Rhinolophus ferrumequinum: one gene and its partner. The protein of the gene in region 1 interacts with the protein of each later gene in a biochemical or structural test. Links are inferred from orthologs where the notes say so. Each region holds a gene or a part of one and is shown on either strand. Other genes may lie near its edges. The genes, in order: SHQ1 and DKC1.

Evidence for each region.
Region 2: the proteins of SHQ1 (region 1) and DKC1 are reported together in a solved structure, tested with the Homo sapiens proteins (2 studies listed by BioGRID, with this or other methods). The link is inferred for Rhinolophus ferrumequinum from reciprocal best matches to the Homo sapiens genes SHQ1 and DKC1.

Annotation. Positions count from the first base shown.
Region 1 is NC_046300.1:66,544,759-66,560,144, reverse strand, and holds the start of SHQ1 (protein SHQ1 homolog), read left to right. Parts: upstream 1-9,447; 5' UTR 9,448-9,569; coding exon 9,570-9,712; intron 9,713-15,386. UniProt on the Homo sapiens protein: Required for the quantitative accumulation of H/ACA ribonucleoproteins (RNPs), including telomerase, probably through the stabilization of DKC1, from the time of its synthesis until its association with NOP10, NHP2, and NAF1 at the nascent H/ACA RNA.
Region 2 is NC_046284.1:5,795,310-5,810,653, reverse strand, and holds the start of DKC1 (H/ACA ribonucleoprotein complex subunit DKC1), read left to right. Parts: upstream 1-9,636; 5' UTR 9,637-9,802; coding exon 9,803-9,818; intron 9,819-10,622; coding exon 10,623-10,690; intron 10,691-11,131; coding exon 11,132-11,218; intron 11,219-12,574; exon of another isoform or gene 12,575-12,730; intron 12,731-13,026; coding exon 13,027-13,118; intron 13,119-13,331; coding exon 13,332-13,516; intron 13,517-14,086; coding exon 14,087-14,151; intron 14,152-14,523; coding exon 14,524-14,650; intron 14,651-14,887; coding exon 14,888-15,018; intron 15,019-15,116; exon of another isoform or gene 15,117-15,249; intron 15,250-15,344.

The DNA of each region.
Region 1 (15,386 bases):
AGACAGCTCAGAAAGAAAATGAAAAGTCTCCAGAAAATGAACTTAAAGACATGGAAATATATGACTTAAATAACAGAGAATTCAAGATTGAAGTTATGAAAAAACTCAACAAGATGAAAGAAAACACAGACAGGTAGTTTAATGAACTCAGAAACACAATCAAAGAACAAAATGAACATTTTACCAAAGGGATTGAAATTTTAAAAAAGAACCAAATGGAATTTCTGGAGATTAAGAACTCAATAAAAGAAATGAAGAATGAAATAGCTAGTTTATGTAGTAGAGTTGACCAGATGGAGGAAGGAACCAGTGACATCAAAGACAGAAACCTGGAAATAACATGAATGGAAGAAGAAAGAGACTTGAGACTTAAAAGAAATGAAAGAACTCTACACGAACTTTCTGACTCCATCAGAAAGCAATATAAGAATAATTTTTTTGGAGAAGAAAGAGAGAAGGAACAGAGAGTATATTCAAACAAATAGTCGATGAGAACTTCCCAAACTTGTGGAAAGAGCTGGATCCTTGAATGCAAGAAGCAAATAGAACACCTAATACCTCAACCCCAATAGGCCTTCTCCAAGGCACATTGTATCGAAGCTGTCAAGAATTTATGACAAAGAAAGAATCCACAAGGACTCCAGGGAAAAGAAGACGGTAACCTACAAAGTAAAGCTCATTAGATTATCATCAGATTTTTCAGCAGAAACTCTATAAACCAGGAGGGAGTGGAATCAAACATTCAAACTATTGAAAGAGAAAAATTATGAGCCACGAATAATATATCCAGCAAAGATATCCTTTAGATATGAGGAAGGAATAAAGACATTTCCAGACATACAAAAGCTGAGTGAATTTTATAGCACACGACCGGCATTACAAGAAATACTGAAGGAGGCTATTCGACCAGCATAATTAGGGATAATTTGTGGCAACCGAAACATAAAAGCAGGGAGAGTAAAGGCCTGAACCGGAATATGGGAATGGAGAAAAGTAAGCATGCTGAAGAAAACGGAATACTCTAAATATGAAACTTTCTTTTATATCAACTTAATGGTAACCACTAAAAAAAAAAATACAGAATTGAATTATATAACATAATAAAAGAAGAAACAGAGAGAAAAATCATAGAATACCACCACACTGAAATAATTGACAGCAACAAAAAGGCAAAGAAACAATGGAGACACAGTCTTACCAGAAAACCAAAGATAGAATGATAGGAAATCCTCACATATCAATAATCACCCTAAATGTAAATGGACTCAATTCACCAATAAAAATGCACAGAGTAACGGATAGCATCCAAAAAACTAAAGCCAACCATATGCTGCCTCCAAGAGACACATCTCAGCTACAAGGACAACATAGTCTCAAAGTGAAAGGGTGGAAATGAAACTCCAAGCAAATGGTATGCAGAGAAATTCAGCTGTAGGCATACTGATATCAGATGAAACAGATTTCAGGTTAAAAAAGGTAACAAGAGAAAATAATGGACATTTCATAATGATAAAGGGTATTATACAACAAGAAGACATAACAGTCATCAATATGTCTGCCCCAAATCAGGGAGCACCGAAATATACCAAGTAACTACTAACAAAACTAAAGAAAGAAATTGACGAAAACACAATTATACTAGGGGACCTAAATACATCATTGACAGCTATGGATACGTCATCCAAACAGAAAATAAAGAAATAGCAACCCGAAATGACACATTAGATGAAATGGACATAATTGACATTTATAGAGCACTTCACCCTAGGACATCAGACTATAAACTTTTTCCTAGTGTAAATAGAATATTCTCAAGGATAGACCATAAATTGGGACATAAAACGAATCTCAGCAAATTTAAGAAGATTGAAATAATACCAAGCATATTCTCTGATCACAAGGCTTTGAAATTAAATATCAACTGCACAAAGAAATCAGGAAAAACCACAAATATATGGAGATTAAACAACATACTTTTAAGAATGACTGGATCAAAGAAGAAATAAGAGGAGAGATCAAAAGATACATAGAAACAAATGAGAATGAAAATAGATCCTACTAAAATTTTTGGGATGAAGGCGAAAGCAGTTTTAAGAGGGAAATTTATATCTTTACAGGTCTATCTCAAGAAACAAGAAAAATCCCAAATAAATAACCTCACGTTACACCTTAAAGAACTAGAAAAAGAAGACCAAGGGAAACCCAAGGTCAGCAAAAGAAAGGAAATAACAAAAATCAGAGCAGAACTAAATGAAATAGAGAACAAAAAGATAATAGAAAAAATTAATGCAACAAAGAGCTGATTCTCTGAAAAGACTAATAAAATTGGCAAACCCTTGGCTAGACTCACTAAGATAAAAGGAGAAAAGACACTAATAAACAGAATCAGAAATGAAAAAGGGGAAGTTATCACGGACACCACAGAAATACAAAGGATCATCCAAGAGTACGATGAAGGACTATATCCCATCAAATTCAATAACCTAGAAGAAATGGACGAGTTCTTAGAAACATATAGCCTTTCCAGGCTGAATTACAAAGAACTGGAAAATCTAAATAGACCGATCACCAGTAATGAAATTGAAACAACCACCTGAAACCTTCCTGAAATCAAAAGTCTGGGACCAGATGGCTTCACTAGTGAATACTACCAAACCTTCAGAGAGGGTCTAATACCTGTCCAACTCAAACTCTTCCAAAAAATTGAAGAAGAGACAATACTCTCTAACTCATTTTATGAGGCCAACATTCCCCTGATACCAAAACCTGGTAAAGACAACACAAAAAAGTAAACTACAGACCAATAACTCTGATGAACACAGATGCAAAACTCTTAAACAAAATACAAGTAAATCGAATGCAACAAAGCATTAAAAAGATTATTCATCACGAACAAGTGGGGTTCATCCCAGGGGCACGAAGATGGCTCAACATACGCAAATCCATAAACAAAATAAAGGACAAAAACATATGATTATATCCATTGAGGCAGAAAAAGCATTTGACAAGATACAACATCCATTTATGATTAAAACACTTAATAAAATAGGTATAGGGTGAAAATACCTTAACATAATAAAAGCCATATATGACAAATCCTCAGCTAATATCATAATTAAGGGTGAAAAACTGAAGCCCTTTGCTCTACATTCGGGAACATGACAGGGCTGTCCCCTATCACCTCAGCTTTTCAACACAGTGTTGGGAGTTCTCGCCAGAGCAATCAGGCAAGAGAAAGAAATCAAAGGCATCCAAATTAGGAATGAAGAAGTTAAATTGTCACTCTTTGCAGATGACATGATGCTTTATATCGAAAACCCTACAGACTGCACCAAAAAGCTATTAGAAACAATCAACGAATACAGTAAAGTTGCCGGCTACAAAATCAACATACAAAAGTCCATTGCTTTCCTATATACCAACAATGAAATCTCAAAAAAGAAACCAAAAAAAAGCAATTTCTTTTGTAATTGCAGCAAAAAGAATAAAATACCTAGGAATAAACTTAACCAAGGATGTGAAAGACCTATATGCTGAAAACTATAAGACATTTTTAAAAGAAAATGAAGACACAAAGAAATGGAAAGACATTCTGTGCTCATGGATTGGAAGAATCAACATAATTAAAATGGCCATATTACTCAAAGCAATATGCATATTTAATGCAATCCCCATCAAAATCCCAATGGCATTTTTTAAAGAAATAGAACCAAAAATCATCAGATTTGTTTGGAACCACAAAAGACCCCGAACAGCCAAAGCAATCTTAAGAAGAAAAGAACAATGCTGGAGGTATCACACTCCCTGACTTTAGCTTGTACTACAGGGCAACAATAATCAAAACAGCATGGTATTGGCAGAAAAACAGACACATAGACCAATTGAATAGAATTGAGAACCCAGAAATAAAACCACATAAATATGGACAGATAATTTTTGACAAAGAAGCAAAAAACATACAATAATAAGACAGCCTCTTCAATAAATGGTGCTGGCAGAATTGGAAAGTCACGTGCAAAAGAATGAAACTGCACTGCTGTCACCATGTACCGAAATTAACTCATAATGGATCAAAGACCTAAGTGTAAGACCTCAAACAATAAACTGCACAGAAGAAAATATAGGTACTAAACTTATGGACCTTGGGTTCAAAGAGCATTTTATGAATTTGATTCCAAAGGCAATGGAAGTAAAAGCTAAAATAAATGAATGGGACTATATCAAACTTAATAGCTTCCGCACAGCAAAAGAAATCATCGACAAAATAAAGAGGCAACCAACCGAATGGGAGAAGATTTTTGCAAACAGCGCGTCCAATAAGGGGCTAATATCCAAAATATACAAGGAACTCATACAACTCAACAACAAAAAAACAAACAACACAATTGAAAAATGGGCTAAGGACCTCAAGAGACATCTCTCCAAAGAGGACATACAAATGGCAAATAGACATATGAAAAAATGATCAACATCACTAATCATCAGAGAAATGCAAATAAAAACCACAATGAGATATCACCTCACCCCAGGTAGAATGGCTATCATCAACAAGACAAATAGTAACAAGTGTTGGAGAAGTTGTGGAGAAAAAGGAACCCTCATACATTGTTGGTGGGAATGCATATTGGTGCAGCTGCTATGGAAGGCAGCGTGGAGGTTCCTCAAAAAATTACGAATAGAATTACCATATGACCCAGCAATCCCTCTCCTGGGTATCTACCCAAAAAATCTGAAAACATTTATCCATAAAGACACGTGTGCTCCAATGTTCATTGCAGCTTTATTTATGGTGGCCAAGACATGGAAACAAGCAAAATGTCCTTCAATAGATGAATGGATAAAGAAGTTGTGGTATATATAAACAATGGAATACTATTTGGCGGTAAGAAAAGATGAAATAGTACCATTTGTGACAACATGGATGGATCTTGAGATTATAATGCTAAGCGAAATAAGTCAGGCAGGAAAAGTTGAGAACCACTTGATTTCACTGATGTGTGGTATATAAACCAAAAACAACAAAAGAACAAGACAAACAAATGAGAAACAAAAACTCATAGACACAGACAATTGTTTAATGGTTACCAGAGGGTAAGGACGGTGGAGGGTGGGAGATGAGGGTAAAGGGGATCAAGTAAATGGTGATGGAAGGAGAACTGACTCTGGGTGGTGAACATACAATGGGATTTATAGATGATGTAATACAGAATTGTACACCTGAAATCTATGTAACTTTACTAACAATTGTCACCCCAATAAACTTTAATTTAAAAAAAGCCTATTAAAAATACAGGAAAATTTTGTTCTTTTAGTAGAGCAGCAACATTAATTTTTAGCTTTACATAAGTCCAATATTGATATTAAGCTTAATAACAATTTAACTTTAGCCTGCTTAATTTCAATTGGTAAAATTTTTTCTCTTTTTGTCTTCCCATTTTGAAATAACCAGGACAAATTCTTTTCATTTTTTAATGGAAACATATATCTATATCTTAAATCACCTTTTACTGAAAACATCTATTAATTATTTCCCTGCTAATTTGAATTTTTAATCTTTAGAAACGTTAATTTCTAGTGACAACTAAAAGTGAGCAATTAGCATACTCTAGATTGTCAAAGTTATGAATACATTTCATAGTCTCAAAAATATAGGCTCTTGGACTGGAAAATATATTTGATAATTTTTAGAAACATTTGTTTCCTCAACATAGCATAAAACATGTTTATTAATGAACCCAAATATCTTTAGTTTTTCTGTGTTAAGAAGCCAAAAATAGGGCCGGCCCAGTGGCTCAGGTGGTTGGAGCTCCATGCTCCTAACTCCGAAGGCTGCCTGGATTCCCACATGGGCCAGTGGGCTCTCAACCACAAGGTTGCCAGTTCAATTCCTTGAGTCCTGCAAGGGATGGTGGGCAGCACCCCCTGTAACTAAGATTGAACTTGGCACCTTGAGCTGAGCTGCTGCTGAGCTCCCAGATGGCTCAGTTGGTTAGAGCGTGTCCTCTCAACCACAAGGTTGCCGGTTTGACTCCCACAAGGGATAGTGGGCTGCACCCCCTGCAATTAGCAACAACAACTGGACCTGGAGCTGAGCTGCGCCCTCCACAACTAAGACTGAAAGGACAACAACTTGACTTGGAAAAAAAAAAGTCCTGGAAGTACACACTGTTCCCCAATAGAGTCCTGTTTCCCTTCCATCACCATTTATAACAGAGATAACATGAACTTATTTTTTCGTAAACCCAGATAAAATAAAAATATTATATTAAAAGTTAATAACTCTAAAGACATGTCTGTTTTAATGAAACCAACTAACTTAATATTAGTTTTAATATCAAATTTTTCCAAGATCATGTGATATTGAAAAATATTTGTGTTAATTTCTATTGTATTGCTTAATTCATTCAATCCAATTAAACAGAGCTCTTTATAAATTAATGCTAATAATTTCCCTCTAGAGGTATATATATATATATATATATATATATATATATATGTATATACAAGGCAATTCCTCTGATATATATATATATATATATATATATATACACACACTAAGGGGGCCCCTGCCCCCTTGAGGTAAAAACCCCCTCCTGATCTCAAATAATGGTATTTAACCTCAGTCCAAAAAGGAGGGAGGTCTGAACCTAAGAGGGCTTCAGTCAAGGAGATAGTGGTCCATGGATGTGGTGAGCACAAAAAAGGCTGTTTAGGTATTATACCCAGACCCAGGATATGCTGGTCCATGAAGGTGAAGCCATTTTAGATCCCACTCCTGACATTAGATATGTTAACCTAAAAAATAAAGGCAAAGTGAGAAGCAAAAAGCATTTATTTGCGATTTGAAAAATAGCTATTTGGGAAGCTGATTCAGACAGAAACCCAAATAAGATTCTGATTAGGAGACAAAGGCAAGGGGTATTTATAAGAAAGGGAAGGAGAACAATTACATGAATAGTAGGAAGGCATTTCCATTGGTGCAGATGAGCTAACATGGAGATGTTCATTCTAAAGAATGTTTTTAATTTTTAGTCTGGTATTTGTCAGTCTGATAGTAATAATATCAGCTTTGTTGTTATCCCTGTAAACAGTTTTTTGGGACATAATGTTGCTTTAAGCCCAGCCCAAAGTTTATTTTGCCCTGTTTTAATATTCCAGAGGTTTGAGGCATAAGACATGCAAGGCAATTCCTCTGATATTCTATTTTAAAATGACTTTGTTTATATTGTTTTAAATAGAATTTATAACGTGTAATTTACCACTAATTAGAAATACAAAAATAAACAACAGCTTGCAAATAAAACACCACCAACAAAACCCTGTTATGTAGTTGCAACTATCAGTATTTTGCGATACATCAGATGTAATACTTGTATATATTTCTTATAAGAGCAGCAATGAATCATACAATCTGTTTATCTGTGTTGCAATCCTGTGTGTGAGTGTGTGTGTTGCCAAACATAGAATAAATTATCTAGAAAGTACACAGCTCTACTTTAAAGTGCTTTCAATTAGAGTTTCCTCATGGATAGCATAACTTCAGTCTCAGTTAATTTTCCTGCATTAATAATTTAAAAATATTAATACTTGTGACCTATAGGAATGAGGTCCCTTGGTAAATGTAAAGCTAATTTGGAATGATCCAAAGGCCTATTTCAAGGGCTTTACTAACTACAAGTTTTATCAATGTATTTACAGTATTGAGTGCATGTTATTTGTAAGGTTCAGTATGGCCTAAAACAGGGAGGCTTGGTTCAGAATAGGAAACAAGTTGGGTACCGTGTTTCCGCAAAATGAGACCTAGCTGGACCATCAGCTCCAATGCATCTCTTAGAGCAAAAATATAAGTGGTCTTATATAATATAAAATATAATATAATATAATATAATATAATATAATATAAATAATACTGGGTCTTACATTAATTTTTAAGGGAGTCAGTTCTATAGTATTTTAGAGCCTGGGAACAGAAATCAGATTCACTTGGGTTTCAATTCCTGTTTCACCACTCACTAACTGTGTAATCCTGTGCAAACCATGGGGATATATAATGCCTACTTCATAGAGCTGTCACAAGGAGAAAATGAGATCACTATAAAGGATTTTGTATGTGCCGGCACATACTAAATTTCAGTTAATTCAATTAATTCCTCTACTACCCAAGGAATAGCTGAATGTGTGTGTAAGAGTATGCTTTAAATTGTTTTACACACGACCTCTTATTTTGTCTTTATCAAAACTCCCAGATTTAAGCAGAGTGGTTTTTATTTTAAATTTTTAAAATTTTGTTTGCTCTAGTTAATGTATTTGTCTGAGTCTTAATTCTAAGACTCATGAAAAATGGAAGATTGAAAAGGCTTTTGAAGTTATCTGGTCCACTGTCAGAGGAGATGGCTAAATAGGTACTATTTCCTGGACTATTCTAGCTATTGGTGGAATAACAGGAAATAAAATTAGAGGAAAGGAAGGCCAAGGGAATATGTAGGGGAAGAGAGAGACTAGTGGGGAAGCACTGGGAGAGTATGAGGAGCATAGATGAAAAGGGGAGGGGGGGGGAGAAGACAAGCGAGCGAAGGGTAAAAGGAGACCGAAGAGGACCGCAAACAAGTCTAAGGAGAAAACTAAGAAAAGGAAAAGTACAGAAAGACAGCAATTTGCCAATACAGGCTAACCCTAACATGGTTTAAGAGTCAGACGTTCTGGGTCTGATCATTGTAAAAGTGCATGATTATTATAAGACATATTGCTTAACCTTTTGAGTCGTTCTTTGGAGTTCCTAGTGTTGAAAGAGATTAGGTGGATGACGATCTGTAAACAAGAAAACTCTATTCAAATAAGGAATTAGGAAAGAGAGAGGGAAAGAGGGAGATACGGAGGGGGAGAGGAAGAAGAGAAGGAGGGGAGAGAGATTGCATAGAAAGGCGGTGAGGAAGAGGATGAAAAGGGGATTGTTGACCAAACAGCTGTGATCTAAGGAAAACCACAGTAAGGATGCTGCTGTGTGACTGAGCCAACACATCGAGCATCGACAACTTGCAGGTACGTTGTTAGAGCTTTACATATTTTCATCTTATCTTCACAGTATCTCTATGGGGCTAGATCCTAGTATTATTCTCATTTTATACAAGAGGTATGTGAAGCACAGAGAAGTTTTGTAACTTTCCAATGGTCTTAACAGCTGGGAAGTGGCCGAGAAGGGATTCAAAAGTAGGTCTGCCTACCCGCAAAGCCAGTGCTGTTAAAATCATCTCTAAGAACCTCGAAAGAGGCTTGGTGGGTCAAAGGTGGACTCTTGTCCGTGTTCTGCCAAGTTACGCTCTGGGTTCAATACCTATGCACAAAGCTCCACTCGCCCTTTCTCTATTTCTCCACCAATAGCATCCCGTCTCCACGGAGAGAGGTGAGAGGCGGGACTTCCTCGCTCACGCACGAGCACTTCCGCCTTGAGCCGGAAGCGCTGTGACTCACCGAACGAGCATCTGCGCGTGGGTATTTCTTGGAGAATTTGAGTGGTGAGATCGTGGCCGCAGTGACAGTGACTGACTTGGGTACAGGAGTCCGGTGCGGCAATGCTGACCCCGGCGTTCGACCTCAGCCAGGACCCCGACTTCCTGACTATTGCTATCCGCGTGCCCTACGCCCGGGTCTCGGAGTTTGACGTCTACTTCAAGGGGGTCGACTTCAAGTTCTATGCCAAGCCATATTTTCTCAGGTGAGTCCTGCGTGTCTGGCCACGGGAAGGGTGTTTTGGGGCTTCATTCATTCATTCACTCATTCGATAACCACTTATCCAGAGAGGATGAAAGAACGAGGGAGCACTTCTCGATTTCACCACTGCCTTTTTCCGAGACCCCCGCAGCTTCTTTAGGTGCCTAAGGAAGTGAACTCTTGTAGGTGTGCGTTCTAGATACTGCCGAAGCTCATCTTAAAACTTATTAAATCTCCACATTAGAGGGATTTCGGAGCCACTTTAAAACGTGGCGTTTGGGCCTCTGTAACTTTCCCAGTTTCGTCCTGTCGCCCAGGTTCCCGTCCCTTCCTTTTCCTGTTCTTTATTTCGCTCTGCGTTAGTCCTCTTTGCCCAAGGACAGCGCGCGCTGACTTCCCAACTGACCATTCCATTTGACTGTTCTTAGTCCACGTTGTGTTATCCACCTCTTGACTGACCTCTCCCTTCTTCCTGAAATTCTCGCCTTCCGTGGCCCCCATGACACCAAAGTAGCTCGTTCTCCTACTTCCTCATTATCTGCTGCTTCTCTGGTTTTGCCCCTTGACTGTGGTTGTCGTCCCCCATGTCTCGGCGAGGAGCCTTCAGCATTTGTTGTTTGCATTTTCTCCCTGCAGAACCATAGTGTAACAGTAGTAAACAGCTACCACTATTCACATTCCATCTGAGAGGAGGGACAAGCAGTGTGTTAAATGCTTTATGTTCATTATCTCATTTAATCTTGACAGTGGTCCTCGGAGATAGGCATTATTATTATTAGTCCCCTGTTACAGAGGACACTGCCACATTATTCTTCTTAAACATTGTCAATACTCCCCTTTCCTAGGAGGGTAACATCCATTCTCCTGATCATTCTCATTCAAAGATAGCTCCACCCCACTTTTCCTGCCCTAGTACTTCCTGATACAAACCTTCCTCTGGAATCAAGCTGTTCCTCACTGGGACTGAACCAGTTTTTTCTCAGATACCCATTAGGCCCAAACTTAATTCGCCTACTTGAGTATGCTGCACTTATCTATTTCTGTACCTATTTATATCTTTATTTGTTTATCAAGTCCATGGTATGTACCAGGCTCTATTTTCAGTATTGGAGATGTAGTGGTGCCTCAGTGGTTTACATTCTAGTGGGGATAGAAAAATAATAAGCAAACAAGTAAACATATAACTACAAATCATAGTAAGTGCTCTGAAGGGAAATAAAGTGCAGTGATAGAGAATAAAAGAGAGCCAATGTTTATGTAAAGTGGCCAAAGAAAGCCTTTCTGAGGAGGTGATGTTTAAGCCAAGATATGAAGAATGAGAAGATGCTGATGATGGTATAGCAAAGATTTATTGGATTTTTACTCCAGGTCAGTGCTTTACGTGGATCATCTCATTTGGTGTTAGGGCAGTCCTACAAAGTAGGTTCTGTCATTTACCCATGTTACAGATGAGGGATCAGAGGCTCAGAGAAAAGTTGTTAAATAAGATAGGATTGTAAAATAAAATAAATACAATAAAATAAAAATTTCAAAGTAAATATCACTTTGCTTAAGTCAGAGTTTTGATAAAGACAAAATAAGAGGTAATCTGTGAAACAATTTAGACTACTCTTTACACACATTCATCCATTCGTTGGGTATCAGAGGTTGGGAATTGGGCACACCTGAGGCTCAGCACATTTGGTGTTCTGTGACTTTGGGCAAATTATTCAGTCTCAATTTTCTCGTTTGTAAAATGGGACTAATATTAGTGATCTTAAAAAATTGATGTGAGGATTGAGATAATGCATACATAGTTCTTATTACCATGTCTGGTAATTAACCATGTATTCAATAAATAGTAGGTATTATTAAGGGCCTGCTGTTTCAGTTGTCGTGCTGATAACCAAGCAAACTTAATGGTCTAAAACAATAATCATTTAATTAACTCCCTGGTTTTTGTGTGTCAGGAATTTGATAAGGACTTGGCTGGGCTCTTCTGGATTGAGGTCTTTAATTCAGTTGTGACCACATGATGGCTGGATCTGGAACAGGAAGGGCCTAAGCAGCTGAGGACTGGCGTGGTGAAGTTGGGGAGGGTATCTCTCTTCCTGTAGTCTTACGACCTCCCTGTGTAGTCTCTTCGCATGGTCCTAATTTGTGATTCCTTCAGGGAGTTGGAGCACAAACAGGATAGCTAAAAGTTTCTAGAGTGAGTATTCCAGCCAGCAAGGGAGAATCCATATCATCTTTTATGACCTAACTTCAGAAATCACAATCAATTCTGTTGTATTGTATTGGTTAAAACAGTTCTAGAAGCCCACTCAGTTTTAAAGGGAGTGAACACTGACCCCCCCCCCCCAGTTGGAAGCAGTGATGTGACATGGGCCATCTTTGTTGAAAATATAGTTTACTATAGCACAACAAAGATGAATAAAATCTCACCCCTCTCCTTGAGGAATTGAGAGTCTAGCAGAGGAGGCATATCTGTGAACAAATATGATTTTACTATTTCACGGTAAGAATTTATACTACAAGAATCTAGGAGAAGGGAGCTAGTAATAATAGCTTACATTTTTTTTTCTCTCAAATCTTTTTTTTTTGTTATTTGTTCCAGGTCCTATAAAACAACATAATGATTAGACATTTACACCCCTCACAAAGTGATAAACCCCCCCCCAAGTCTACTACCCATTTGAAACTAGATAGCTATTACAATGCCATGGATTATTATATTCCCTATATTCCTGTACTTTATATCCCATGATTATATATACTTAATTATAGTTGACATTCAATACTATTTTATATTAGTTTCAGGTGTACAGTGCAGTGGCCAGGCATCCATACAACTTAAGAAGTGATTCCCCTTGTCAAGTCCAACACCCAGCTGACACCATGCAGTTTTACAACATTGTTGACTATATTCCCCTTACTGCACACCACGTCCCTGTGACTATTTTGTAGCTACCAATTTGTGCTTCCTAATCCCTTCACCTTTCTTACCCGTCCCCCTTAACCCCCTCCCATCTGGCAACCATCAGTTTGTTCTCTGTATCTATGAGTCTATTTCTGTTTCGTTTGTTCATTTATTCTCCTTAGATTCCACATATAAGTGAGATTATAGGGTATTTGTCTTTCTCAGTCTGACTTATTTCACTTAGCATAATATCCTCTAGGTCCATCCATGTTGTTGCAAATGGTAAGATTTCATTATTTTTTATAGCAGAGTAATACTCCATTGTATAAATGTACCACAATTTCTTTATCCAATCGTCTGTTGAAGGGCATTTCGGTTATTTCCATATCTTGGCTGTTGTGAATAGTGCTGCACTAAACATAGGAGTACAGTAGTACCTCAGTTTTCGAATGTCCCTGTTGACGAACATTTCGGTTTATGAACACCATAAACCCGGGAGTAAATGCTTCTGTTTTCGAACACGCCTCGGAAATTGAACATGTCACATGGCGTCCGCTGAGTGCAAGATCCTGAGACCTAGCTGTCGGCTGTTTTCCAACGTTTCAGAACTCCAACGGTCTTCGGGAATGGATTACGTTTGAAAATAGAGGTACCACTGTACATGTATTTTTCTCAAATTAGTGTTTTGGATTTCTTTGGATAGATACCCAGGAATGGAATTGCTAGGTTATAAGGTAAAATTTTAAATTTAACCTTCTATGTTAAATTTTTTGAGGAACCTCAATACTGTTTTCCATAGGGCTGTACCAAATTACAATCCCACCACAGTGCATGAGGGTTCTCTTTTCTCCACATCCTCGCTAACACTTATCTGTTGATTTGTTGATGACAGCCATTCTGACAGGAGTGATGTGGTATCTCACTGTGGTTTTTATTTGTATTTGTCTGATGATTAGTGATGTTGAGCATTTTTTCATGTCTATTGGCCACTTGTATGTCCTCTTCGGAGAAATGTCTCCATATGTCCTCTGCCCATTTTTTAATTAGATTGTTCGTTACTTTGGTGTTGCACTGTATAAGTTTTTAAAAATAAATTTTTTTAAAACCATTACTAACATTTTTTGAACAATATAACCATGATAACATCTTTTGAGATCTTAAATATATGTATGTATCAGACAGTCTACAATATTATGCACGATTTCTTTTTTTTTTGTAGTTCTGCATAATTTTTCTTTTTTTAAATTTATTGAGGTGACAATTGTTAGTAAAATTACATAGATTTCAGGTGTACAATTCTGTATTACATCATCTATAAATCCCATTGTGTGTTCACCACCCAGAGTCAGTTTCCTTCCATCACCATATATTTGATCCCCCTTACCCTCGTCTACCACCCTCATCCCCCTTACCCTCTGGTAACCACTAAACTATTGTCTGTGTCTATGAGTTTTTGTTTCTTATTTGTTTGTCTTGTTCTTTTGTTGTTTTTGGTTTATATACCACATATCAGTGAAATCATATGGTTCTCTGCTTTTTCTGTCTGACTTATTTTGCTTAGCATCATACTCTCAAGATCCATCCATGTTGTCACAAATGTTCCTATGTTATCTTTTAAATGCCAAATAGTATTCCATTGTGTATATATACCACAACTTCTTTATCCATTCATCTATCGAAGGCCATTTTGGTTGTTTCCATGTCTTGGCCACCGTAAACAAAGCTGCAATGAACATTGGAGCACATGTGTCTTTATCGATAAATGTTTTCAGATTTTTTGGGTAGATACCCAGGAGAGGGATTGCTGGGTCGTATGGTAATTCTATCCGTAATTTTTTGAGGAATCTCCACACGGCCTTCCATAACGGCTGCACCAGTCTGCATTCCCACCAACAGTGTACGAGGGTTCCTTTTTCTCCACAGCCTCTCCGACACTTGTTACTATTTGTCTTGTTGATAGCCATTCTGACTGGGGTGAGGTGATATCTCATTGTGGTTTTTATTTGCATTTCTCTGATGATTAGTGATGTTGAGCATTTTTCATATGTCTATTTGCCATTTGTATGGCCTCTTTGGAGAAATGTCTCTTCAGGTCCTCTGGCCATTTTTCAACTGGGTTGTTTGCTTTTTTGTTGTTGAGTTTCATGAGTTCCTTGTATATTTTGGATATTAGCCCCTTATCGGAGGCACTGTTTGCAAAAATCTTCTCTCATTCAGTTGGTTGCCTCTGTATTTTGTCGATGGTTTCTTTTGCTGTGCAGAAGCTTTTAAATTTCATATAGTCCCATTCGTTTATTTTAGCCTTTACTTCCATTGCCTTTGGAGTCAAATTCATAAAATGCTCTTTGAATGCAAGGTCCGTAAGTTTAGTACCTATGTTTTCTTCTATGCAGTTTATTGTGTCAAGTCTTATGCTTAGGTCTTTGATCGACTTTGAATTAATTTTGGTACATGGTGACAGAGAGCAGTCCAGTTTCATTCTTTTGCACGTGGCTATCCAATTCTCCCAGCACCATTTATTGAAGCTTGGTGACAGAGAGCAGTCCAGTTTCATTCTTTGCACGTGGCTATCCAATTCTCCCAGCACCATTTATTGAAGAGGCTGTCTTTCCTCCATTTTATGTTTTTAGCTTCTTTGTCAAAAATTATCTGTCCATTTATGTGGTTTTATTTCTGGGTTCTCAATTCTATTCCATTGGTCTATGTATCTGTTTTTCTGCCAATACCATGCAGTTTTGATTATTGTAGCCCTGTAGTACAAGCTAAAGTTAGGGAGTGT
Region 2 (15,344 bases), on another chromosome or scaffold:
AACCAGGTAGTTAAATATGGATGTGATATGAGTAATCACTCCTGCATCCTTCGGAGTGTACTCTTCTCCCTTCCAGACAAACCCAAATTGCTTCTGCATGGTCATTCCTCCTAAGTTACTAGGGAGAGATGACCTCTTTATATTACAATGTTCATTTTCCTTTCATCCAGCCCCTTCCCAGCTTCTTTGCACTCCAGCCTGGAGAGAGGAGATACTTGAAATAGCAAGTGGTTTTTCAGCACCTGGATTCCTTTTGTGGCTTCCCCATTTATTATTTATTTAAAATAAATTTGGTTTGGCAGTTCATTAAGTACTGAAAATCTTTTAACTAGGAGGATTTGTGAAAGTAAATGTCCACTATTATAGAAGAGACGCTATTTTAGTTATGTTACGATGGGCAAAGTGGCCGTGCATCTAAATTATTCTCTGTGAAAAGAGAGACAATTTGAAAAGAAAATGCCTCTCAATTTCTGAATAAGGGACAGACCTGGGGAGATAACTATACATGTATGTGAAAGGCCAATAATGAGGGAAGAGGTCTGTGTCTTCCTATATTCCCCACCTCCCACGCGTCTCTTGTTCTAATAATCTATGAAGCACATTAATTAAAAGCCTCAGGGGAGCTGACTCTGGGTGGTGAACACACAGTGTGATTTATGGATGATGTGATACAGAATTGCACACCAGAAATCTATGTAATTTTACTAACAATTGTCACCCCAATAAATTTAAAAAAATAATAAAATAAAATAAAAATAAAAATAAAAAAATAAAATAAATAAAATAAAGTGGCTAAATCTCAAATATCAAAAAATAAATAAATAAATAAAAGCCTCAACTGCCACAGTACAATTTCGGATAAAGAAACTCTTTGTTTCCTATATGGACATCTATAAAGTACTTCTCTAAGAGTGAAAGCAACCTAATTTCCATCTGAAATATGAAATTTGACTTTCTTACTATCAATTTGAGTTTGTTGTTGTCTATAGTCTTCTACCTGTCTTACGAAAAATTCTGACGTCATATCCATTATTTTATATTTAAAACTCTATGGCTTTTGCGTAGTGGATTTGCCACCAGAACACAGGTGTCGTGAAAACCACCACTAAATCTAAGCCAAAATGAGAAAGAAAAGACTCGTATCAACTTTGTCGTCATTGGATATGTCGGTTTGGGCAAATCCACCACTTCTGGCCATCTGATCTACAAGTGTGGTGGGATCAACAAAAGAACCATGGAAAATTGGAGAAGGAGGCTGCTGAGACGGGAAAGGGTCTCTAATGGGCCTTGGATCAACCGAAAGCTGAACACGAGCATGGGTGGCATCACTACTGATATCTCTGTGGAAATTCGAGAACGGCAAGTATTATGTGACCATCATGGATGCCCCAGGACACAGAGACTTTTTCAAAACACAATTACAGTCACATCTCAGGCTGACTGTGCTGTCCCGACTGTTGCTGCTGGTGATGGTGAATGTGAAGCAGGAATCTCCCAGAATGGGCAGACCCGTGAGCATGCCCTTCTGGCTTACACACTGGGTATGAAACAACTAACTGTTGGTGTTAACAAAATGGATTCCACTGAGCCGCCTCACAGAAGAGATACGAGGAAATCATTAAGGCAGTCAGCACCTACATTAAGTAAATTGGCTACAGCCCTGACACAGCAGCATTTGTGCCAATTTCTGGTTGGAATGGTGACAACGTGCTGGAGCCAAGTGCTTACATGCCTTGGTTCAAGGGATGGAAAGTCACCGATAAAGATGGCAATGCCAGTGGAACCACGCTGCTTGAAGCTCTGGATTGCTCCTGCCACCAACTCATCCAACTGACAAGCCTTTGCGTCTGCCCCTCCAGGATGTCTACAAAATTGGTGGTACTGGTATATCCCTGTAGGCCCAGTGGAGACTGGTGTTCTCAGACCTGGCATGGTGGTCACCTTGGCTCCAGTCAGTGTAACAACTGAAGTAAAGCCTGTTGAAATGCACCATGAAGCTTTGAGTGAAGCTCTTTCTGGGGACAATGTGGGCATCAATGTCAAGAATGTGTCTGCCAAAGATGTTCGTTGTGGCAATGTGGCTGGTGACAGCAAAAATTACCCACGAGGTGAAGGGGCGGCAGGTACCATGTCCAGCCATGAAGGTGACAAGAAGAAGCCCCTGAAGCAGCCCAAGAAGCAGGACAAGGACATGGACTAGGAAGATAAGGCATTCAAGCAGAAGAAGAAAGAGAAGAAACTCGAGGAGCTAAAAGCAGGCTGCGGGGAAGGGCCCCCCCCGGCCACAAGTGGAATTAAGAAGTCTGGCAAAAAGTGAGCTGTTCCTTGTGCCTGGGGCAATGGTGATCCTTAATTCCATTCCTGTTTTAACATCTGGATTCCTTGCCATAACACCTGTTGCCACTTGTAGCTAGAAGGAAGTGTTGTCTTGGAGCCTGTTGTACATTTAAGAATAAACTTTTGTAAAAAAAAAAAAGTAATAATAATCATGCATTGGCTCAACTCTTTAGTTCTTCTCACTCAGCTATTTCAACTTTAGCTGTGAGGTCAGAGGAAACCCAACCCAGAATCCTAAGTGTGTTCTTCAGTCTTTGTTCTATCCCAAATTCTGTACTTCCTGGAATTAAACCAAGTCATTTGGAAAAAAAAAAGTGACTCACCAATGGCAGCAGCTGGATTCACAGCTCAGGTGATTATCCTGAAGCATCCAGACCAAATCAGTGCTGGATACGCACCTGTGCTTGATTGTCACACAGCTCACATTGCTTGCAAATTTGCTGAGCTGAAGGAAAAGATTGATTGCTGCTCTGGGAAAAAGCTGGAAGATGGCCCGAAGTTTTTGAAATCTGGTGATTCTGCCATCATTGATATGATTTCTGGCAAGCCCGTGTGTGTTGAGAGCTTCTCTGACCATCCTCCTCTGGGCCGTTTTGCTGTTTGTGGCATGAGACAGATAGTTGCTGTGGGTGTCATCAAAGCAGTGATCAGGAAAGCAGCTGGAGCTGGCAAGGTCCCCAAGTCTGCCCAGAAAGCTCAGAAGGCTAAATGAGTAGCTTTTATCCCTAAAACCTGTCACTCCAGTCTTAATCAGTAGTGGAAGAATGGTCTCATAACAGTTTGTCTCAATTGGCCATTTAAGTTTAATGGTGAAAGACAAGTTAATGATTACAATGCATTGTAAAACTTTCAGAAGGAAAGGAGAATGTTTTGTAGACCATTTGTTTTTTTGTGTGTTTTTTTTTTGTGCTTCAGTTTTTAAGTTATTAGTTTTTAATGGAAACAACTTGACCAAAAATCTGTCACAGAATTTTGAGACGCATTAAAAGGAAATTTAATGAGAAAAAATAGCATGAAATGTTTTCACAAGTCCAAATCAAACACTTCTCAATTCATTCTACGAGGACGATATTACTCTGATACCAAAATCAGAAAAAGACAGTAAAAAGAAAGAAGGAAAACTACCGACCAATATGCCTCATGAATGGAGACATAAAAATCCTCAGCAAAATACTAGCGAGTAGAATTCATAGATACATTAAAAAAAAAAAATTATACACCATGACCAGTTGAGGTTTATCCCAGAGCGGCAAAGCTCATTCAATGTATGAAAATCAATCAATGCAATCCACCACATTAACAAGCAAAAGAGGAAAAGTCATATAACTATATCAATTGATGCAGAGCAAGCATTTGACAAAACCCAACACCAATTCATGACAAAAACTCTCATAAAACTAGGAATAGAGGGGGAACATCTATAGAAGACATATGACTAACATCATACTTAATGGTGAAAAACTGGACACTTTCCCCCTAAGATTGGGAACAAGGAAAGGATATCCACTCTTACTGCTGTTATTCAACATAGTATTGGAATGTCTAGCCAGTGCACTATGCAAAAAAAAAAATAATAATAATAAAAGGAAAGAAAAGAAACAAAAGTCACACAGATTGGGGAGGAAGAAATAAAACTGTCTCAATTTGCAGATGACATAATTGTCTTCATAGAAAATTCCAAGGAATCTACAGAAAAAAAAAATCCAATAACTAATAAATGAGTTTTACAAGGCTGCAGGATATAAGATCAACATACAAATCTCTACACAATTTCAAGACTTATTATATAGCTACAGTAATCAAGACTGTGTGGTATCGGTAGAGGAATAGACACATAGATAAATGAAATGGAACAGAGAATGCAGAAATAGACTCACATAAATTTGCCAAATTGGGTTTTGAAAAAGGTACAAAAGCATTTCAGTGTAGGAAGCACAGTCCTTTCAACAAATGGTGTTAGAGCAATTGAACTTTCATAGGCAAAACAAAAAACAAAAAAAGTTTAACCAAAACCTCACATCTTTTACAAAAATTAACTCTCAATAGATCATATATGTATATGTAAAATGTAAAACTCTAAAACTTATAGAAGACAACATAGGAAAAAAATATTTGATACCTAGGACCTGGTGATGAGTTCTTAGACATGACACCAAAAGCACAAGCCATAAAAGAAAAAAATTGATAAATTGGACTTCATCAAAATTAAAACTTTTGCTCTACAAAATATCTTGTTAGAAGTGTAGAAAGACAAGCTACAGGCTGGGAGAAAATGTTTGCAAGCCACATATCTGCCAAAGGACTCGTATCAAAAATATATAAAGAACTCTCAAAACTCATTAGTAAAAAAAACAAACACTATTAATCTAATTAGAAAATAGATAAACTACATGGAGAGTCATTTTGCTGAAGAGGATATAGAGGCAGCCAAAAAGCATATGGAAAAATGTTCAATATCATTAGCCATTAGGACAATGTATATTAAAACCACAATGAGATACCAGTACATACTTATCAGAATGGCTAAAATTAAAAAAAAACAACGCAGAATCCTCACATCGATTTCAGGACCCATGGAAGGAAGGAATCATGGCAGAAAGGCCCAAGTGGAAACCCCTGGAGCTCCACCTTCCTACCAAAGTATAAGTCAAAAGAAATATCACATACTTAGGGGAGAATGTCAAAAATTAGTTTCATTATCAAAGACTTGAAAAATGCAGGGAAGGAAATTCCTATCACATCCCCATTTAATTCACCAGTTTGGCCTGCACAGCAGTTAGTTAGGTCTTGGTGAATGTGGCAGTTTTGAACCAGGGCTCCAAAGTTCTTTGACACCCCTCGTGGAGAGGTGAGGTTGATGCCCCTTTCACTTGAACCTGGGTAGGCTTTTGACTGCTTCAACCATACAATACAGCAGAAATGATGCTATGAGACTTCCAAGGCCAAGTCACAAAAGGTTATGCAGTTTTATGCTTTCTCTGCCCTAACACTTGCTTTTGGAACCCTGAGACACCGAGTACAGAGTCTGACAACTCTGAGGCTGCCATGCTGTAAGAAAGTCCAAGCCACATGGAGAGGCCAAGTGTAGAAGGTGCCCCAATCCAGTGAAACCTGGTCTGCCAGCTGAATTCTCAGCACAACTGCAATCTGTCAGCATAACAAAATATTTGTTTAATGATACCAAGTTTTGGGATGGTTTGTTATTCCATTGATAGATGATGCTGAGGAATTCAAAGAGGATACAGTGGGAATGTCTTCTCTCTGCTCCATAATGTCTGATGGCTCGGCTGAGATGACTCAAGAGCCGAGGGTGACTGGAGGGCTGGAGGCTATAATAGTCTGGAAGCTTCCTCACTCACATGCTTGTTGCCTGTTCTAGGATGCCTATTCTGGCTATTTCATATGAATGGAATCATACAATATTTGTCCCTGTGTCTCTGGCTTATTTAATTTAACATGATGTTTTCGAGGTTCCTCCATGCTGTAGCATGTATCAGTACTTTTTTCCTTTTTATGGCTGAGTAATATTCCACTGCATCGATAGACCACATTTTGTTTCTCCATTCAACTGTAGATGAAGATTTGGGTTGTTTCTACTTTTTGGCTACTGTGACTCATGCTGCTAGGAACATTCCTGTACAAGTCCCCAACATCATGTTTGAGTCCCTGTTTTCAAATCTTTTGGGGTATATACACCTAGGAGTAGAATCACTGAGCCATATGGAAACTCTGTTTAACATTCTGAGGAACTGCCAGACTGTTTTCCCCAGCAGCTGCACTGCTGATGCTGGGATGCTGCTACTCATGCCTGACTTTAAGACTTGGTTGGTCAAACAATGCCTAGTGTATGATGTGCAGCTCAGTTCATAAGACCACTTGTATTAGATGGTCAATCAGGAACTAAAGAAGTCAGGAACTTTTCTTCCCAGCAAATTGGTGTGTGTGTGTGTGTATATACGTGTGTGTGTGTGTGTAGGTCTTAGCTTTATTTTTATCCCAATACCAGAGGCCCGAGCTATGATTTTCTAATCAAGTCATAGGAAAGGCTCTGTGTAGCATCCTTACAGGGAATGCCACGTCCAGAAAGACGCCCACCAAGCATTGTGTTTCTTTCTTAGTGACAGTAGGTTTGAGGTATAGCAAATTGCTTCTCTCTTCAGAAGGACCATCTCAATATGCCTCAGCCTACTGGATACCTAGATGTGTTGGGTTCTTGAATTTTCCTGGGACCTATCTCTCATCCTGTGGTGAAATATTTGCTACTTCTTAGCATTAGGCCCAATCAACAAGTCATCAATGAAGCAGACCAGCATGATGTCTTGGGGCACAGTGAGATAAAGTCAGTCCCTGGGGACTTAATTATGATAATGTACCAGAGAATTGAAGGGACAGTGCTGGGGGGGGCCTCCTTTTGACCTTTCTTTGTATACTTGTCTTCAGTCCTTGAGTCAGGAAGCCCCTGTGGGAATTCTTCTATCTGCTTATTGTGTTTATTCCAATTCTGCAATCAGGAACTGGGGAAAGAGCCACAGGGGTGCCCACAGCAAAATAGAGATAGATTAAGACTCCATTTCTGACTAGTGGACTACAGTGGCATTCTATGTCCCCAGGAGAAAGTGGGAGGAAGGTTTAAAATACAGTATATACTTGTAGTGTTATGGGTATCTGGCTTCCTCTTTACTTGAGGGCTCTGAGCCTGTGGACTGATTGGGTCTCGGAATTAGATGAGGGGCCATGATTTTCCATTGTGGTGATTCAAGGCAGGCTGCCATTCACCAGAACTAGAGATTCTGTTGTTGGTTGTAGGGGTTATACAGACCATGGGCTACTATAGGTAGCCTACTAACAGGACACCATGATCAGTTAACCACCCCAAAAGATCCATGGGAAGTAACCATTCTGGTTCCAACTGTCAGTCCTGCTGCCTATCATGATACCCATCCTATTTCCGAGAATTAGTGCCACCACTTGCAATGTTTCCCACCTCCTTTCCCCAACTAGTTTTCCAGAACCTTTACCAAATTTTGTCCAAGTGTTTTGGTGAAAGGAATGTCCTTTGAGCCCTCTCAGGGGATGTCATTAGAGGGTGTGCCAGTGGGATGCACATAAAAATTCCATTCCAACATTCCAACCTCCCTGAGAATTGGGACTGGAGACAACGAGGGGTGGAAGGGGTGGGGCACAAGGAGAATTGGCATTCCATTGCTCAGTAACTGACCAGCTGATTTCATTACAAGATCTCCAAGAAAGGCAGGATCAGCCTCATCAGACAGTGGGGGAGGAGCTGCTTCTGCTGGTAAGGGAAGGTCCATGGGGTTTCTAGGTTCAGAAAACATAGATTCATTCAACAAATTCTTACTGAGCATTTTCTAGGAGCTGGATATATAGCGGTGAACAGAATAGACAAAACTTTCCTGGCTTCATAAAGCTAATATTCTAGTGAAGAGATAAATAATAAGCCAGGTACACTTAAGGAACAGAGAAGAATGTGCCTGGAGTAGTCCTGAATAGCCAAGAGGCAGTGTGGTGTATTAGTTTCCTAGGGCTACCATAACAAATTACCTCAAACTGGGTGGCTTTAAACAACAGAAATTTGTTTTCTCACAGTTCTGCAGGCTGGAAGTCTGAAACCATTCCAATCTCTTCCTCCATCTTCACATGGTCTTTGTCTCTTCTGTGTGTCCTTGTCCTTCTTTTCTAAGAACACTTGTCATGGGATTTTAGGTCCACCTGGGTAATCCAGGACGATTTCCTCTTGAGATACTTAATTACATCTACAAAAACCCTTTCTCCAAATAAGGTCACATTCATAGGGTCTAGAAGTTAGGACATATCTTTTGGGGGGACCACTTTTTACCCCGCTAAACAAGGGAAGCAGAGGAGAGACACGGCCTGAAGGGCTTTGACCAGAGGCATGGCCTGACTTACAGTTTAATGGCTCTTTCCAGCTGCTGTGTTGAGAAGACACTATAGTTGGAAAGAGTAGAAGCAGAGGGAACTGCAGGAAGCCACTGAAAAAAATCTAGGAGAACCATAAGGATGGCATGGACTACCGTTGAAAAACAATCAGGTTCTGCATCTCTTTTGAAAGCAAAGCTGACAGGCTTAGCTAACAGATCTGTTGAGTGTTGGAAAAAGGTGAAGCCCATAGAACCATCAGTGAATACCTCAAACTTATTCAGCCAAACATGTATCAGTGAAGTATTACAAAATAATGGGGCAAGTAGTGAACTACTCATGGATTGGTTGATACTGGGGACTTTGGTTATCTATAAAAAGTCAATTTAGATCATTATTATTATTATCTTGGCATACACCAAAATAAATTCCCGATAGATGAAAAGTTACATGAGGAAAAACTAGTCATCAGTCTTTTTTTTTTTTTTTTGCCACAGTAAAATGAAAGTGCAAAATTTCTATTATTTGGATGGTGGAGGAGGAATGGAAGAAAAGCAGTACCTGTCCTCTTTGTTCAGCAGCAACTCATTAGAAAAGATTATTGACAAACGATTCCATTTAGAATCGCAATAAAGAATCGAATAACTAGGGATCAATCAAGTCCACACTTGAGACGGAAGAGCGAGAAGAGAGAAGAGCAAAGACAGAAGGGAAGAGGGCTTGAACCAGAAGCTGCTACTTCCTGGCTGTCCAATTCCGCAGACATTAGTGGCCTGTGACTATAGAGCACTTGCCAGGGACACCCGTTCGTGGAGTTCAAACAGAAGTGTACTGTAAATGTAAAACACATCTGAAAGACTTGGTACAAAAAAAAAAAAGTAAAATATCCCATTCGTAATGTTGTGTATTGCTTATATGTTGAAATGATATTTCGGATCACAGGGTTAAATAAAATTCGTTATTAAATTTCTTTTCCCCGTGCGGCTGCTGGAAAATTTAAAAATTCACGAGTGGCTCGCACTTTATTCCTATTGGCCAGCGCTGCTCTAGCTGGATGGCAATTGCAAGCAGCAAAGGGCTTTCAACCTCACAGTGGCTTAACGTCTTTATATTTCAATCGGGACTGATCAGACAACAACCTTAAAGGGTTGGCGTGAGGAAGCAACTTGCTATAGTTAACAGCGTCCTCAGCCAGGTGTCCACACCCGGGTTAAACCCAGTAAAGGTAAGTGAACAGCGGCCGGGGCCACGCCCACAGACTATGGGCCGCCAAGGGGAGCTAAGTTTGGGATCCCAGCCGGGGCTGCCAAGGGAGGGATCCAGGCCCAAAGCACTAGCGCACGCGCATGCGCAAGCGCGTCATCCCTGGGGCCGAGCCAGCCAGATTGTAGAGGCGTCCCGCGCGCGCCCCAGATCCGGCCCCTTTCTCCTGACCCCGCCGCACGTCGCGGCACGCACGGGGCGGTGCAGAAGTGGGCGGGGTCTAGCGGCGCGGCCTGAAGGCGGCGGGAGTCTGTAATCCTTCTCTTGGCGGTGGCCCACGCGGCTCGCACGCTGTGTGGGCAACATGGCGGACATGGAAGGTAGGGGACGCTTCCTCGCGTTTGGTAGGGCCGGGTGTCTCCGGGTGTCTCCGGCCGGGGCCAGCTCTGCTTGCTCGGAGGGCCCAGGGAGGTGGACGGCGTCGGGGCCCGACCTCTGCTCGTTCCAGCCGCTGGATTGGCCCGGTCGCCGCCGGGCTTCCTGCCGGCTTTGCTCCTTGGCTTTGGCTCTGCGGGTGAGGGCAAAAAAGCGGGAGGCGCTCGTGATGAGGTGGCGCCGCGAGGCCCGGGCTTTCCGCTGATGGCACAGCCCCTTTAGGGCCCGGGTCGCCATGGAAAGGCGTTGGCCGTGCGGGGGACCCTGCGATGGCAGGAGACCTAGCAGTACCTGTGCCGCCGGTAGCTCAGACGCCACGGTCTGCGCCACACGATGAGGAGAGGAAAGGGTAGTTGGAACGGGCGTGGAAGAAAAGGGGCCGAGGGGCTCCAGCGTGGGCGTAGGTCCAACAGGCAAGAAAGTTCAGGAGGTCACAAACACGAGCGGACAGTCAAGCGATCACTTATGGAACTTTCCGGCCTCGCGGGCCGAGCGCTTCTGCGGCGTGTTTAAGCCCCGCCACGGCCACGTGGTGAACCGATCGGAAGCTGACATGTGCGACTGCTTGCAGTCAGTTACTGAGCCGTGCAACCCACGTATTTGGCCTTACACAGTTTGTTTTCCCCAGTAATTCTATGCCAAACATCCATTTAATACCTGCCCTGGTTTCAGTCTCTATTTTAAACTTTGTTGCCTTTATTTGCGGGGATAACTCCCAAATTGGGATTTGTTTGTTTGTGTGTTTTTAGTGCTTATTTTGCCGAAGAAGCATAAGAAGAAAAAAGGGGTGAAGTCATTACCAGAAGAAGATGTAGCAGTGAGTAGGAATATGTTTTACTTTGTTTTGACTAAAAAAGACCACTTAGACAACAAATTACAGAAAACTTTTCTAAAGGTTTTAAAGAAATTTGGTGGTTGTGTAGAAACTACACAACCCCAGCCAACCTAAGCGTCTCCTATGGGGTAGTTTCCTAAATGGTCTTGGTCTCGCCAACCCCTTTCCCTGCAGTTTCCTCTCTTATCCCACCTGCAGACCCACTATCCCTCTTTCTCTTTAAATAGCTGTATCCATCTTGGGGGCACTTAATTTAACCTTCTGACATCCTGGCTCATTTCTGCTCTTTCCCTTGGAGGGTCTCACTGAAGAGGCGTAGACTACCTTGTTTTCTATTGAAACGGCATAGGCTTCTGTGGTAGTAATGGAATTGTTCAAAATCAGGTGGGAAGTCTAATAGGGTATGTTTCTGTCCCATGGAAGGAAATACAACACGTTGAAGAATTTCTTATCAAACCTGAATCCAAAGTGGCTCAGCTGGACACATCCCAGTGGCCCCTGTTGCTAAAGGTATGTGGTTAAGATTGTACATCACGTGAGTGCTTAATACTGGCATTCTTTGCTAAGGAAATGCCCGGTGATATGGTCTAAAGCAGTGTTCCTCAAAGTGTCTGAGATGAAGGACCAAGTTAGTATTTTTATTTCCAATGCACCCAACACTGTCACAGTATACATTTAAAATGTTGAAATGACATCGAACTGCTCTCAGAGTTTATAAACAATTAGTTCTTCAGTCCCTGTACTTAACGCCACCTTACAGACTCGTGCCAATTTGTGGGCCACGCTTGAAGTAGGACTGCTTTAGTGCTTGAGAAGCATGGGCTTTGAAGCCAGACCAATTTGGGTCAGGCAGTGTGTGAACTTGGGCCAATCATTTAACCTCTTTGAGGCTGTTTGCTCATAATAGCTTCTCTTAGTAAGACAAGCTGAGGGCTGTGGGAGGTGATCCATGAAATGTGTTTAGCCAGTGTCTGGTGTGTAACATGTCCTCTAGAAATTATTGACTGTTGTGTTGGGCTGTAAATAGAGTAGTAATGATTTGATTTACAGGTTTCACAAATGATTTAATGGGCACCAGCTCTGAGATTAGGAGACAAGGTTAAGGGAGACAAAGTTACTGAGAACACCCCTTGACCAAGTATTTTAATAAAACGTGTATATAATGGCAAAAGAATGAGATTTGCTTATATAATTGAACACAGTTGAGTTTCTGCTTGACCAGATGTATCTTCCATTTAGATAGCATCTGCTTTTCTGTTGTAGGCCCTGGGAATATGTCAATGAACCTGGTAGGCAAAGTCCCTATTGTCATGGAACTCAGAATGTAGGGGTGGGTAGGTGATAGTTTAAAAAATAACTGCTCTTTGTGTAAAAAATGATTGCTATTTGTGGTACTACCATGATGAAATGAAACTGGGTGATATGAAAAATGGGCTTCAATTGAGGGGAGCTCCTTCAGACCAGTGGTTGAGCCTCAGAAAGGAGGAGAGTGAAAAGGAGCAGACATGAGAAAAAAAGAGCTAGGAGCTTCTGGAGCAGTAACAAGCTAATTATGTTTGAGAGATATTGTTGCCAGTCCTCAATTAGGCTATCTTTTGTCCCTGAGAAAATCAAAGCTAGTTCATATTTTATTCGTAAAACTGCACAGTGATGCCCAGTCTGCTCTGTGGTACCCCAAGAAGTCTCTATTAGGTCGGTGCAAAAGTAATTGTGGTTTTTGCAATTGTTTTTAACCTTTTAAACTGCAGTTATTTCTGCACCAACCTAATAGAAGAGTGATCAGATTTGCCTTATTTATTTATCCATCTATCCATCCATCCAGAATGTGTTTATTGGGATGGTTCCTCATCCTGATTCAGGGTGCTTTTAGTGCTGCTGCCTTCTGAAGCAGCATCCTTCTGTAAGCCTTGCTTTTCCTCCTGTAGGCTCACAGAAGACAGTGGAGCAGCCTGCACACAAAACTAGTGTTTATACATGGCTAAGGACAGTGATTTTATAGCCTCCTGGGCATTTCACAGCCATGAAGGGGAGTTGGGGTTCTGCCCCAGGTGCTTTTTCTTGCGTTCCTCTTCTCTTCTGGAGAGGATGTTCTCATGGGGAGGTGGTCAGGAAGAAATTTGTCTTTTTCTTACTCGGGTGAATTTTCCAGTATGTAAGCAGATTTAGTCTGTCACAGCAGATAATGAACATATAGGAGCAACATCCAAGTTTGTGTACAGTAACAGTAACCATGTCGCGGTTGGTGGTAGTGCTAACTCTGGTTTTACATATATTAATGGCTTATTAAGTTTATTTTGTGTTGTATCGTTGCTTTCTAGAACTTTGATAAGCTAAATGTAAGGACGACACACTATACACCTCTTCCTTGTGGTTCAAGTCCTCTGAAGAGGGAGATTGGAGATTATATCAGGTAAGTGTTGGATCAAGCACTGTTCAAACTTGAGTTCTGTTCACAATAACCCGTTCACATCAGTTATTCAAGGAGGTAGTGGTATCGTAGAATGGCATTGCCCTAAACCGCATAGAACCTGTACCCATGGTCAACTCTTAATTTTTACTCTTCAAATTTAGTTTTTATTAGAGGATCGGAGCTGATGGCCCAGTAATTTCTTTTCCATTCTAGGACAGGTTTCATTAATCTTGACAAGCCCTCCAACCCCTCTTCCCATGAGGTGGTAGCCTGGATCCGACGGATACTTCGGGTGGAGAAGACAGGACACAGTGGTACTCTAGACCCTAAGGTGACTGGCTGTTTAATCGTGTGCATAGAACGAGCCACTCGCTTGGTAAAATCACAGCAAAGTGCAGGTACGTGGAAGAGGTGGCTAACTTGAGACTGGAAGGCTTTGTGCATTTCCTTTCCCTTCTACTTACGTGTTGGCTCTTGGAAATTATTTCTTTCATAATAAAAAGACCCTAAGCAGGGCTACTCTTGCTTTCTGTTCATCTTCTGTCCTCTGCCGGACCCTGGTTTGCCTTTCTTGGAGTTCCAGGTACTGTGTGCTGTGTGCACACTGAGGTAGACCTGCGTCCGACCAGCTCTTAGTTTATCACTCCAGGCTCCTGAACTCTGTGCTGCCGCTTCGGCCTGAAGTGCCTTTCCCTCATTTTCATCAGGGAATATTCTCCTACTTGACCTTGCGAAGTTTTTTCCAGGCAGGCTCTACACTGGGTACTCCAGCTGTCCCTGTGAGCACACTGAAACTTGAACCCTGATGAGAGAAAGTGTCTTTATTCCTTTCCCATGTCTGTACCATGCAATCTTAAGGAGGTCAAATTGCCTGCTTTTCCTGCTGCACAAAATGGGAGTGATATGAGTATATAAAAATACAGAAAACTCAGTGGCCGCACCTGACTACTCTTTTGTCATTTTTTCAGGCAAAGAGTATGTGGGAATTGTCCGGCTACACAATGCTATTGAAGGGGGGACTCAACTTTTTAGGGTAAGTCTGTAATTGTAGGGAGGGCATCCTTTGGCAGTGTGGATCTCTGAGCCCCTAGACATCTGGAGACAGGTCAGCTTTCCTGGCTGGCGTCTCTTGTGCCCCTTTCAGTGGGCTGCCTTAACCAGCCTGGACAGGTGACTACAAATGGCAGGGGCACTTCCGGCCATGTCCCTTCTGAGGAGAGGGTTCTGATCAGCACTGAGCCATCTCTGTGTGGTTGAAGAAAAGCAAAAAGCATTTTAGATCTTAAATGATTGAAAGAAACCTGTGCATTTCAGTTGTGTGCTTAAACTCCCATAATGTGCCCTTTGATCTTATTTGAGAGTCCATGCAATGAGAGTCTTTATTGTGGTTTGTGCTTATTCTCAGGCCCTAGAAACTTTGACAGGTGCCTTATTCCAGCGACCCCCACTTATTGCTGCAGTAAAGAGGCAACTCCGAGTGCGGACCATCTACGAGAGCAAAATGATCGAGTACGATCCTGAAAGAAGATTAGGTGGGTCATTAGGCCTATGAGGAATTGAATTAACATAGACGGGGCGGTGGTGGTGTAGGAACGCTTCCTTGGAAACTGCTCTGTTGGTAAAAGTCCATGCCCTTAGTATATGGTGCAGTTGTGGCCTGTGTCTGTCGTCTCTAGTCTCACTGGCTCAGGTCTGGGTTTCTCAATTGGTGGTGTGTTTACTTTGGAAAATATTTACTAGTTTTGTGTGTGTGTGTATGTGTGTCTTAGGAATCTTTTGGGTGAGTTGTGAGGCCGGCACCTACATTCGGACGCTGTGTGTGCACCTTGGTTTATTATTGGGAGTTGGCGGTCAGATGCAGGAACTTCGGAGAATTCGTTCTGGAGTCATGAGCGAAAAGGTACACACCATGGCGGGACAAGAAGTTTTAGAGCTGGTACTTAATATAGTCTATCCCAGGGTGCAACTCTGTCTGCTTCACGTCCTGGGAAAGGCAGTTTCCAAAGTGTTGAGTTCAGTTCAGGGCAGCACCCCCTGTTCTGTTAATTAAACTTTGGGACATTGAAACAGGCTAGGGAAGATGATTGGATAGAAAGCATTACTCTATTCATTTACTTCCCAGCCTACAAAAACGCTTGCTCAGATTTAAATGTATGATCAGTTAATGATAATCAGCAGTTAAAGATGTCCAGAGAGGAGTGATTCTAAAGTAACTGAAGACCAATG